2 linked regions of the Mus musculus genome follow. The main gene of each other region encodes a partner of the protein of the gene in region 2 in a complex. Links are inferred from orthologs where the notes say so. Each region holds a gene or a part of one and is shown on either strand. Other genes may lie near its edges. The genes, in order: Mterf4 and Nsun4.

What was found.
Region 1: the proteins of Nsun4 (region 2) and Mterf4 are in contact, whole or in part, in a crystal structure (PDB 4FP9), measured with the Homo sapiens proteins. The link is inferred for Mus musculus from reciprocal best matches to the Homo sapiens genes NSUN4 and MTERF4. Residues at the interface, in NP_950245.2 of Homo sapiens: Pro61, Ser62, Arg64, Val65, Leu68, Ser69, Glu70, Arg136, Gly137, Asp138, Ile139, Arg141, Asn367, Leu368, Met369; in NP_872307.2 of Homo sapiens: Tyr267, Glu269, Arg270, Leu271, Gly272, Arg273, Glu311, Glu312, Val315, Phe316, Lys318, Leu319, Arg322, Glu323, Glu326.

What each region holds. Positions count from the first base shown.
Region 1 is NC_000067.6:93,303,001-93,307,562, reverse strand, and holds the start of Mterf4 (transcription termination factor 4, mitochondrial), read left to right. Parts: upstream 1-1,683; 5' UTR 1,684-1,717; coding exon 1,718-1,738; intron 1,739-2,456; coding exon 2,457-2,955; intron 2,956-4,562. UniProt on the Homo sapiens protein: Regulator of mitochondrial ribosome biogenesis and translation. Binds to mitochondrial ribosomal RNAs 16S, 12S and 7S and targets NSUN4 RNA methyltransferase to the mitochondrial large ribosomal subunit (39S).
Region 2 is NC_000070.6:116,047,139-116,050,947, forward strand, and holds part of Nsun4 (putative methyltransferase NSUN4), read right to left. Parts: exon of another isoform or gene 3,504-3,809; intron 2,085-3,503; exon of another isoform or gene 2,004-2,084; intron 1,527-2,003; coding exon 1,192-1,526; intron 1-1,191. UniProt on the Homo sapiens protein: Mitochondrial RNA cytosine C(5)-methyltransferase that methylates cytosine to 5-methylcytosine (m5C) in various RNAs, such as rRNAs, mRNAs and some long non-coding RNAs (lncRNAs).

The sequences.
Region 1 (4,562 bases), on a different chromosome or scaffold from region 2:
TCTGTCTGTCTGTCTGTCTGTCTGTCTCAAAGGACAGCTCGGTGGAGTGGGTTTGTGTCTTCACTTTTGCATGGGTCCCTAGAATCAAACTCAGGTCACCAAGCTGGTGTGGTCAGTGTCTGAATTCCTGAGCCATCTTGCTGACTAAACACAAGTCTGTAAACAACAGAACTTACCAAATACTTTTATCTGGGTCTAGATCTGTACATAACCATTTCAGGGAGAGTTTGGGCTGTCCTGAGAACTTATTGCTGTATTACAGTGTCCATCACAAACTACTTACCTCCTCTCTTCCTGTAAGCAGCCAGAGGTCATCTGCCAAGATGTTTCGCTACTCTCTTGACCCAGAAAAACCCCCCAAAATCATGCAAATCAAGAGGTTCAAACCTTCGTGTTCACTTTAAGAACACCCGGGAATCTGCCCAGGCCATCAAGGGTATGCATATCTGCAAAGCCACCAAGTATCTGAAGGACATCACTTTAAAGAAGCAATGTGTGCCATTCCGGTGTTATAATGGTGGAGTCAGTAGGTGCGCCCAGGCCAAACAATGCGGCTGGTCGGTGGTCAAAAAAGAGTGCTGAATTTTTGCTGCACATGCTTAAAAATGCAGAGAGTAACGCTGAACTTAAGGGCTTAGATTTAGATTCTCTTGTCATTGAACACATCCAGGTGAACAAGGCACCTAAGATGCGCCGACGAACCTACAGAGCTCATGGCCGGATTAACCCATACATGAGCTCCCCCTGCCACATTGAGATGATCCTCACTGAGAGGGAACAGATCATTCTAAAGCCAGAAGAGGAGGTTGCACAGAAGAAAAGGATATCCCAGAAGAAACAAGAAACAAAAACTCATGGCACGTGAATAAATTCAGCATAAAATAAATGCAGATAAAGTTAAAAAACAAACAAACAAACAAACAAACAAACCTACTTACCTCAAAGATGAGCCCAGGAACACAAATTTGGTTTTTCCAAAAGATTCTCCACCATGGATGAAGTTAGGTGAGATATTACTAGCTAGAGAATAAAGCCATAAATCAAGGCATTTACCAGACACATTGGTGGGGACCACAGATAGGAAGGATAAGGCAAAACTAGGAAAACACTTAACTCAGTTTTAGATATTATTTAGTGATGCTATTGGCTTTTGGATTGGTGAAAACCATTGTTGGTCTAGGAATATATTTTAAAGGTATTCATTGTCACAAAGCTGTTAAGTTAGACAGGTGGACGATGAATGGATTTCAAAAAGGCTAAGAATAATCCATGATAATTTGGTTTTGGTCTGCAGGATCCTAATTCCACAATCACAGCGTTATCTTATTTGGCCTTGTACTATCTTTAACACAGGTGATTGTTTTTTGTCATATTCTCCCCTCCTCCCCCGGCCCCAGTAAAAGTAGTTTCACAACAGAAAACGACGGTGTGCGCTTCGGGGTAGTTTGGTTTCACCTGTACTCTGAAGAGCAGTTTTAAAACCCAGGTAGTGTTGCTTGTTCCTGGCAGAGACCATGCAACCGAGTATGCCCAACTAAAGGGAGCTGCACCTGCAAGCTGCAGGTGCTGGGCACGAGCATCTGGGATCAAGGGCTTGGCTGCGGAACGAAAGAACGCCACACCCCGGGAGTTCGGCGGACACAGATCGGAGGCCGGACGTTGTGAGCCAGGAAGGACCGCCTCTTCCGGTCTCACAGTTGTTCTTCGCTTGGTCTCCATGGCTTCGCTGGGAAGGCAGGTGAGGTTGCCCTAGGTCCCGGGCTCACAGCGGCTGTTGGCGGGACGTTCAGGAGGCGCTGACGCTGGTTCTTGGTGTTCCGGTCTGGGCACCTTGTGGCAGTAGCGCTCCCGGGTGGCGTGTGCACAGACAGTGTGGCCCTCAGAATAGCTTCTGGCTTCTCCGGAGTTTCGGCTGTGTGCTGCCTAATGGCTAGGGAGGCCTGGACCACCACCAGCGGCAAGAGCGGGGTGTTTGAGACCATTCTGGCGGGCACCGGATGCTCTGTGCTTAATTTGTTATGTGCTAGTCCCAACACCTGGGGCTACTGTGTACAAATCGACAGATTCCTTCCCCCAAATATTCTTCTTTTAATGGAAGGGATCCTTGAAAAACAAAACAAAACTATCCTTTGTTGGAATGAAATTAGGTAGTGTACCTGTCTGGTGGCTAGTCTGAGGTTCAGAATTTTCAACCAAATACTATTGCTCGTGCCCTGTATCTTCAGTATGTAGATATTGCTTATGCTTCAATATCTTCAGTAAGTGCGGTCGTTTGCATGCTACTTTTATTCTTTGGAGACTTTTTAGACCCAGAGAAGATTTTACAGATTGTTTACAAAAACTGTTAGCTTTTGTGGGCCAAGGGTCAAGCTGAGGTTCAAGGTTACTGGCTCAGTAATCTTGTGGTGGTCATTATTCTGAGGTGGGACTGATTCTGTTTTTGCTCTGCCTTACAGGTTCCTGAGTGGCATCGTCTACTGGCCCTCTCCTGGGCCTGTTTGGTTAGGCAGACCCCTCATCTCAGAGAACAGAAACAGATGAGCCCTTCTTTGTCTTGCAAACTGACTACAGTGCCCGGTAGAGGAAGCTTTCAAGAGTTTTCCAGCATTACACCCCAAAAGTACATGCAGGAACCAGAAAACAGGACACGACTTGTTCAGTGTCTTCATGAGGAACAGAAGCCTTGTGTGGATCCTGAGTCCTTGGAGCCTGAAAAGGTCATCCGTTCCCTCCAGGACATGGGTTTTGCTGAAGCCCACATTCACAGCTTGTTTAGTATACAGCCAAGTGTCCATCCTCAACAGTTGCTGGGTATAGTTTCAGAACTCCTACTCTTGGGGTTGAACCCAGAGCCTGTATTTAATGCCTTGAAGAAAAATCCCCAGTTGCTGAAACTGTCTAGCATGCAGATGAAGAGGCGTTCCAGTTACCTTCGGAAGCTTGGCCTTGGAGAAGGTATAAGATGCAGCAGACTTTATAGAGGGAGAGGAGTCAGTTAGGGAGAAAATAGCTTACCCTAGCAGGGATGTCCAGCCTTTTGATAGTAAGGCATGGAATTGTCACCTACAAATGAGCTAGGCTGCATTCATCAATACCCTGGGATGCATGTGTGCTGTGGGCTAAACACACCTTACTCAGAGGAAGTGAGGTAGGAAAGTTTGCTGAGGAGAGGTCAGTGTCTTCAAGAAGATGTGCAGTGGGCTCTCTGCAGATGCCGTTGTAAGGGGGATGTGGGATAGAGGAGCCCAAGAAGAGAGAACCAAGGCCAAAGTGAGCCTCCTGTGTGTTCATTGAGATCTCTAGCTCCAGATCAATGGGGACATGGAGTCTGGTTTTGGTGGGTTAGTGTTGCTCTATGGTAGTGATGTATGTGTATGCAAATGTGTGACCTCCGCAAAAACATCCCACACACAGCTTTCAGAGCTGATGGTGCCCGGTTCCTGGAAGGCTGTTAGAGTGCCCTCCACCTTCCAACAGCTGTCACCCTTCTGGAGAAGGGAGGTGGGGCTCTCCAGTGAACTCTACCCATTTGACTGCTTTTATTTCATTACTGACTGTTCCTGGTAAGATTTCACCCCCAAAGTGGGGAGGCTTAGAGCCCACTGTGTTTGGTGTCTCGGCATGCCTCCTCTAGAAGATAAGCAAAAAGATAACTGTGTTCCCCTTGACACGTTGTCTCTTGTAACATGATCTAAGCCCAAGCTCAGTCAGTGTGTGAAGCACAGCCTGAGAGGAGAAAATAAAGCTTACTCTTTGGAAACGCCTCTTCACAGGGAAGCTAGGCTGTTAGGAAAGTTACTTGACAGTCTTAAGTGGCTTTTAAGTTTCCAGTTTTTAAATCGGCACAACTATTCATCAGAAGACCATTTGCTTCACTTATGAAGCCCTGCTTATATCATTTGTCTGAATACAGTTACTAATGTAACTCAGTAAAACACGGGGAGGCTGGGTGTGGTAGTGCATTCTTTTAATTGAACTCTATAGTCAGGAGGATGGAGCTCTGCAGGTTCCAGGCCTTCCAAGGAGACCCTACAAAACAAACAATAATACAGTTGGATATAACACATGGTCACGCTCAGACTACTTATAATTGTGTGTTCTGGATATTCTTGTTCCTACCATTGTTCCTAAAGGCCTCTTCATTGAGCTCAGACTCTCAAGTCTAGAGATTGTTAGTCTCTATACAATGTCTAGATTATACAGAGAGAAGCAGCAGCCTGAGCCCCACTGTGCAGGAAACCACTCTCCTCTAACATTCCCCAGTGAATCCCCGGGAAGCTTTCTATGCTAGGCAAGCAAGAGGAGACCTAGAGTATGAAGTTGCCGCCTTCAGATAGAAGACTAGAAAAAGGCAGGGACATAGGGAGGGTTGTTGGGTCTGTGAAGAGTCCTTTGCGTGGTGCTTCATGGAAAGTAGATCTCTGAATGGGCAGTCCTGTGGAGGGAGAGGATCCTGCTGTGCCCCCATGTGGGTGCCACAAGACAACTTCTAGAGTTGATTGTCTGCTGCCACAATGTGGGTCTTGGGGATTGAACTCAAGTTTCAGGTTTGCTGGCAGGTG
Region 2 (3,809 bases):
CTTAGTTCTATAAGAGAGCAGGCTGAGCAAGCCAGGGGAAGCAAACTAGTAAAGAACATCCCTCCATGGCCTCTGCATCAGCTCCTGCTCCCTGACCTGCTTGAGTTCCAGTCCTGACATTCTTTGGTAATTAACAGCAATGTGAAAAAAGGAAGCTGAAAAACCCTTTTCTCCCCAACTTGCTTCTTGGTCATAATGTTTGTGCAGGAATAGAAACCCTGACTAAGACACCGGACTACTTCCCAAGACCTGAAACCATGCCTGGTACATAGCAGGAATTCAATTTTATCAGGTTACACTTTAAGATACAAAGTACTTCACTGGTTCAGAGGGAATGGTCATCAACTATATGCACTGGGGCTACCTGAGTTGGGCCTGATGAAGAAATCAGAGGCCTTCATTAGGTAAAAAAATGGAAGAACATTCTAGGCAAAAGAGAAAAGAATGAGTAAGGTACAAAAGAATAAAAACTCAAAGCTTCCTTAAGAATTAGTGAGAAGAGGGCCGGAGTGTGTGTGTGTGTGTGTGTGTTCCATTCCAGCCTCAAGCCTACCATTCAAGTTCTGGTATCATAAGCTTATACCACTATATCCACCTTCCTATTCTCAAGGCATAAAGCACAACTTAGCACTTGGCTGTACAGTCTTTTCCCACTGAACTTCATACACACAAGCACCACCTCTGGAAGAGACAAAGTTCTGTTTTTTTTCAGGTCTATCACTAACTTGCACTCCTGGGCAACCCCTATTTCCTATCAGAGTCCACTTCCTCTCCTCCTCCTCTCACAGGTGGCTGACAGGGCAAAGGAGAAGGGGAGACACATCTTCACTGGGAAGGATGCAGTGAGTTGCTCTTGTGAAAGGTAGATGTTTTCTGCAGAATGCAGAACAGGCTCCGAGTGCAGGTTCTGGGGTTCAAACTTGCTAGGACTAAATACCAAATACACCACTTGCTCTCTGGATGATCAAAAGCAAGTAGCTTTCTTAATTTCTCTGTACCTCAAATATAAAAAAAGAGCAGCTATTATATTCCCATCAGGGTACTGACAAGAGAGAGAGTACACATACAGCACTTGGGCAAACACCTAGTCTGCAAACACTAGACATACCAACAAAACTGGAGGGCAGGGCTGAGCTCTTCAGATCCACTTGTACCAGGCACTCAGAATGACCCCACCATTCCAGCCCCTACCTGGCAGGAGGAAAGCGGCTGACGTCCCCTCTGGAAAAAGTGAAGCATCGAAGATTTGGGCTGCAGTCCAGGGATGGAGTTGGAGAGAGGCCACTCTCAGGCTCCAGTTTCTGGTGAGAGATGGCTTCACTGACGAAGTCCTTGGCACTCAGCTGCTCCAGCTTAGCACTCACACTATCCCAAGCAGCAAAATTATTGACCAATGCACCATACTTCTGCTCTGAGAGAAGACTAACACGGATTGATGGCCAAAGATCCCCAAACTGTACACTGTAGGTCATGTCAAAATTCTGCAGAGCAAGCCGACTGGCCGTGAATTGTGGTTCTGTGGTAGCCTAAGAGAGAAAGAGCAAGTGTATTAATCATTCCAGTCTTGACTCTTATCTCTTATCATGTGACTTTACTGCAGTTTCTGTTGCTGTGATGAAACATCATGACCAAGGCAACTTGAGAAGGAGGTTTATTTCATCCTACACTTCCAGGTGACACTCCATCACTGAGGGAAGCCAAGGCAGGAATTCAAATAGGGCAGGCACTGCAGGAGCTGTCAGAGAGCCCACAGAGGCTGCTGCTTGCTGGCTTGCTTACTCATGTCTTGCCCAGCCTGCTTTCCTATAGAACCCAGAACCACCAGCCCAAGGATGGCACCACCCACAATAGGCTGGGCCCTCCCCCATCAATCATTAATTAAGAAAATGCCTTACAGCTGGATCTTATGGAGGCAAATTATCAATTATGGTTCCCTCATTTCACATAACTCTAGGTAAATTGTGTCAAGCTGACATAAAACTAACCAGTATATCTACCAATACCTCAGACCTCCAAGGCAAATTCAAGTCCACTCAGTGCTCTCTCCTATCTTTGCATCTTGCTTCTGCCTACCAAAGGAAGAACTGGGAGAGAATGAAGTTAGCCTTCATATCACAGATTGGAAGGGACACATACCTCTCATAGTAACTCTAGGGGTCATCAAAAAAGAGAGTCAATGCTAGGCAGAGTGGTGCACTTGTAATCCCAGTACTCAGCAGGAGGATCTAGAGTTCAAAGCTAACGTTGGGGCTACAAAAGCAAATTCGAAGCCAGGGTGAGTAATACATCAGGAATCTCTTGTTGAGATGGCTTTTTGCCACTAAGCTTGACTACTTGTGTTTGATCTTTGAGACCCACAGGGCAGAAGGAAAGGATTGATTCCCTTACTTATTGTCCTACCTCCCAAGGTGGACCGTAGCACATACATGCACACATGCACATAAACCATACCCACACCAATAAATAAATGTCATTTTAAAAAGTCTCCTATATGGGGCTGGAGAGATGGCTCAACAGTTAAGAGCACTGAGTGCTCTTTCAGAGGTCCTGAGTTCAATTCCCAGCAACCAAATGGTGGCTCACAACCATCTGTAATGGGATCCAATGCACTCTTCTGGTGTGTGTCTGAAGATAGCTACAGTGTACTCATATAAATAAAAATAAATAAATCTTTTTTTTTAAAAAAAAGTCTCCTATAATCCTACTGCTCTGGAGGTAGAAAAGAGGGTCATTCTTGGTTATATAGAATTCAAGACAAATTAGGATACAAGATACTCTATCTCAAACACACACACAAAGACACATAGAAGCATCTCAAAAAAAATAGGAGGGAGAGATTGGTTGAGGGCTTAATCTGAGATGTACCTCAATGTGTGTGCTCTGAGATGTGTGTGTGTGCACCTGAGATGTGTGCTCAGTGTATAACAGTGCTTGCCTAGCACAAGCAAGGCCCTAGATTTATACCTAGCAAATGTGAAGGGGGTACTTAAGTAACCCAAGGGAGAACTTTTGAAGAAACTGTGAAGGTCCTGGGGAAACTTGAGGCTTAAAGCTTTTTATGACAGATGGTTTCTCTGCATAAACCTAGCTGTCCTGGAACTTGATTTGTAGACCAGGCTGGCCTCAAACTACAGAGATCCACCTGACCCTGCTGCCAAGTGCTGGGATTAAAGGTGTGTGCCACCATGCCTGGCACTTCTATTCTTTACAATCCTGTTTTCAAAGCTTGTTATTGTCTATTAGCTTATGAGAGAGCTCTATGGCAGTGGTGCTCAATAGGATACAAATAATTCTCTGCCGGGCGTGGTGGCACACGCCTTTAATCCCAGCACTCGGGAGACAGAGGCAGGCGGATTTCTGAGTTTGAGGCCAGCCTGGTCTTCAGAGTGAGTTCCAGGACAGCCAGGGCTACACAGAGAAACCCTGTCTTGAAAAACAACAACAACAACAAAAACAACAACAATAATTCTCTTTCCCATCTGATAGAGCAATGAGTCACTCACCTAAGATAATGCAGTGACTGGACGACGTAATGCACAGAATTATAGAGCTGAGAGGTTTTAGGTTTCCCAGGAAGGCAGAATAAAGACAGTTCACAGAATCTTTAGGTAAGAATTAAAGAAGAATGACTGCTATTGGCCAACAGTGAAGGACTTGAGTCAGATTGAAAAAAGAACTGAAGACTTCAGACGAGGAGTTGGCCCTCATTGTAACAACTGAGATACTACTGATGGCAGTCTTGTTAATGCACCTTCTACCCTCGTCTGGGTTTTTGTTCTGGTCAGAACATGCATTCTGGTCATTATTTC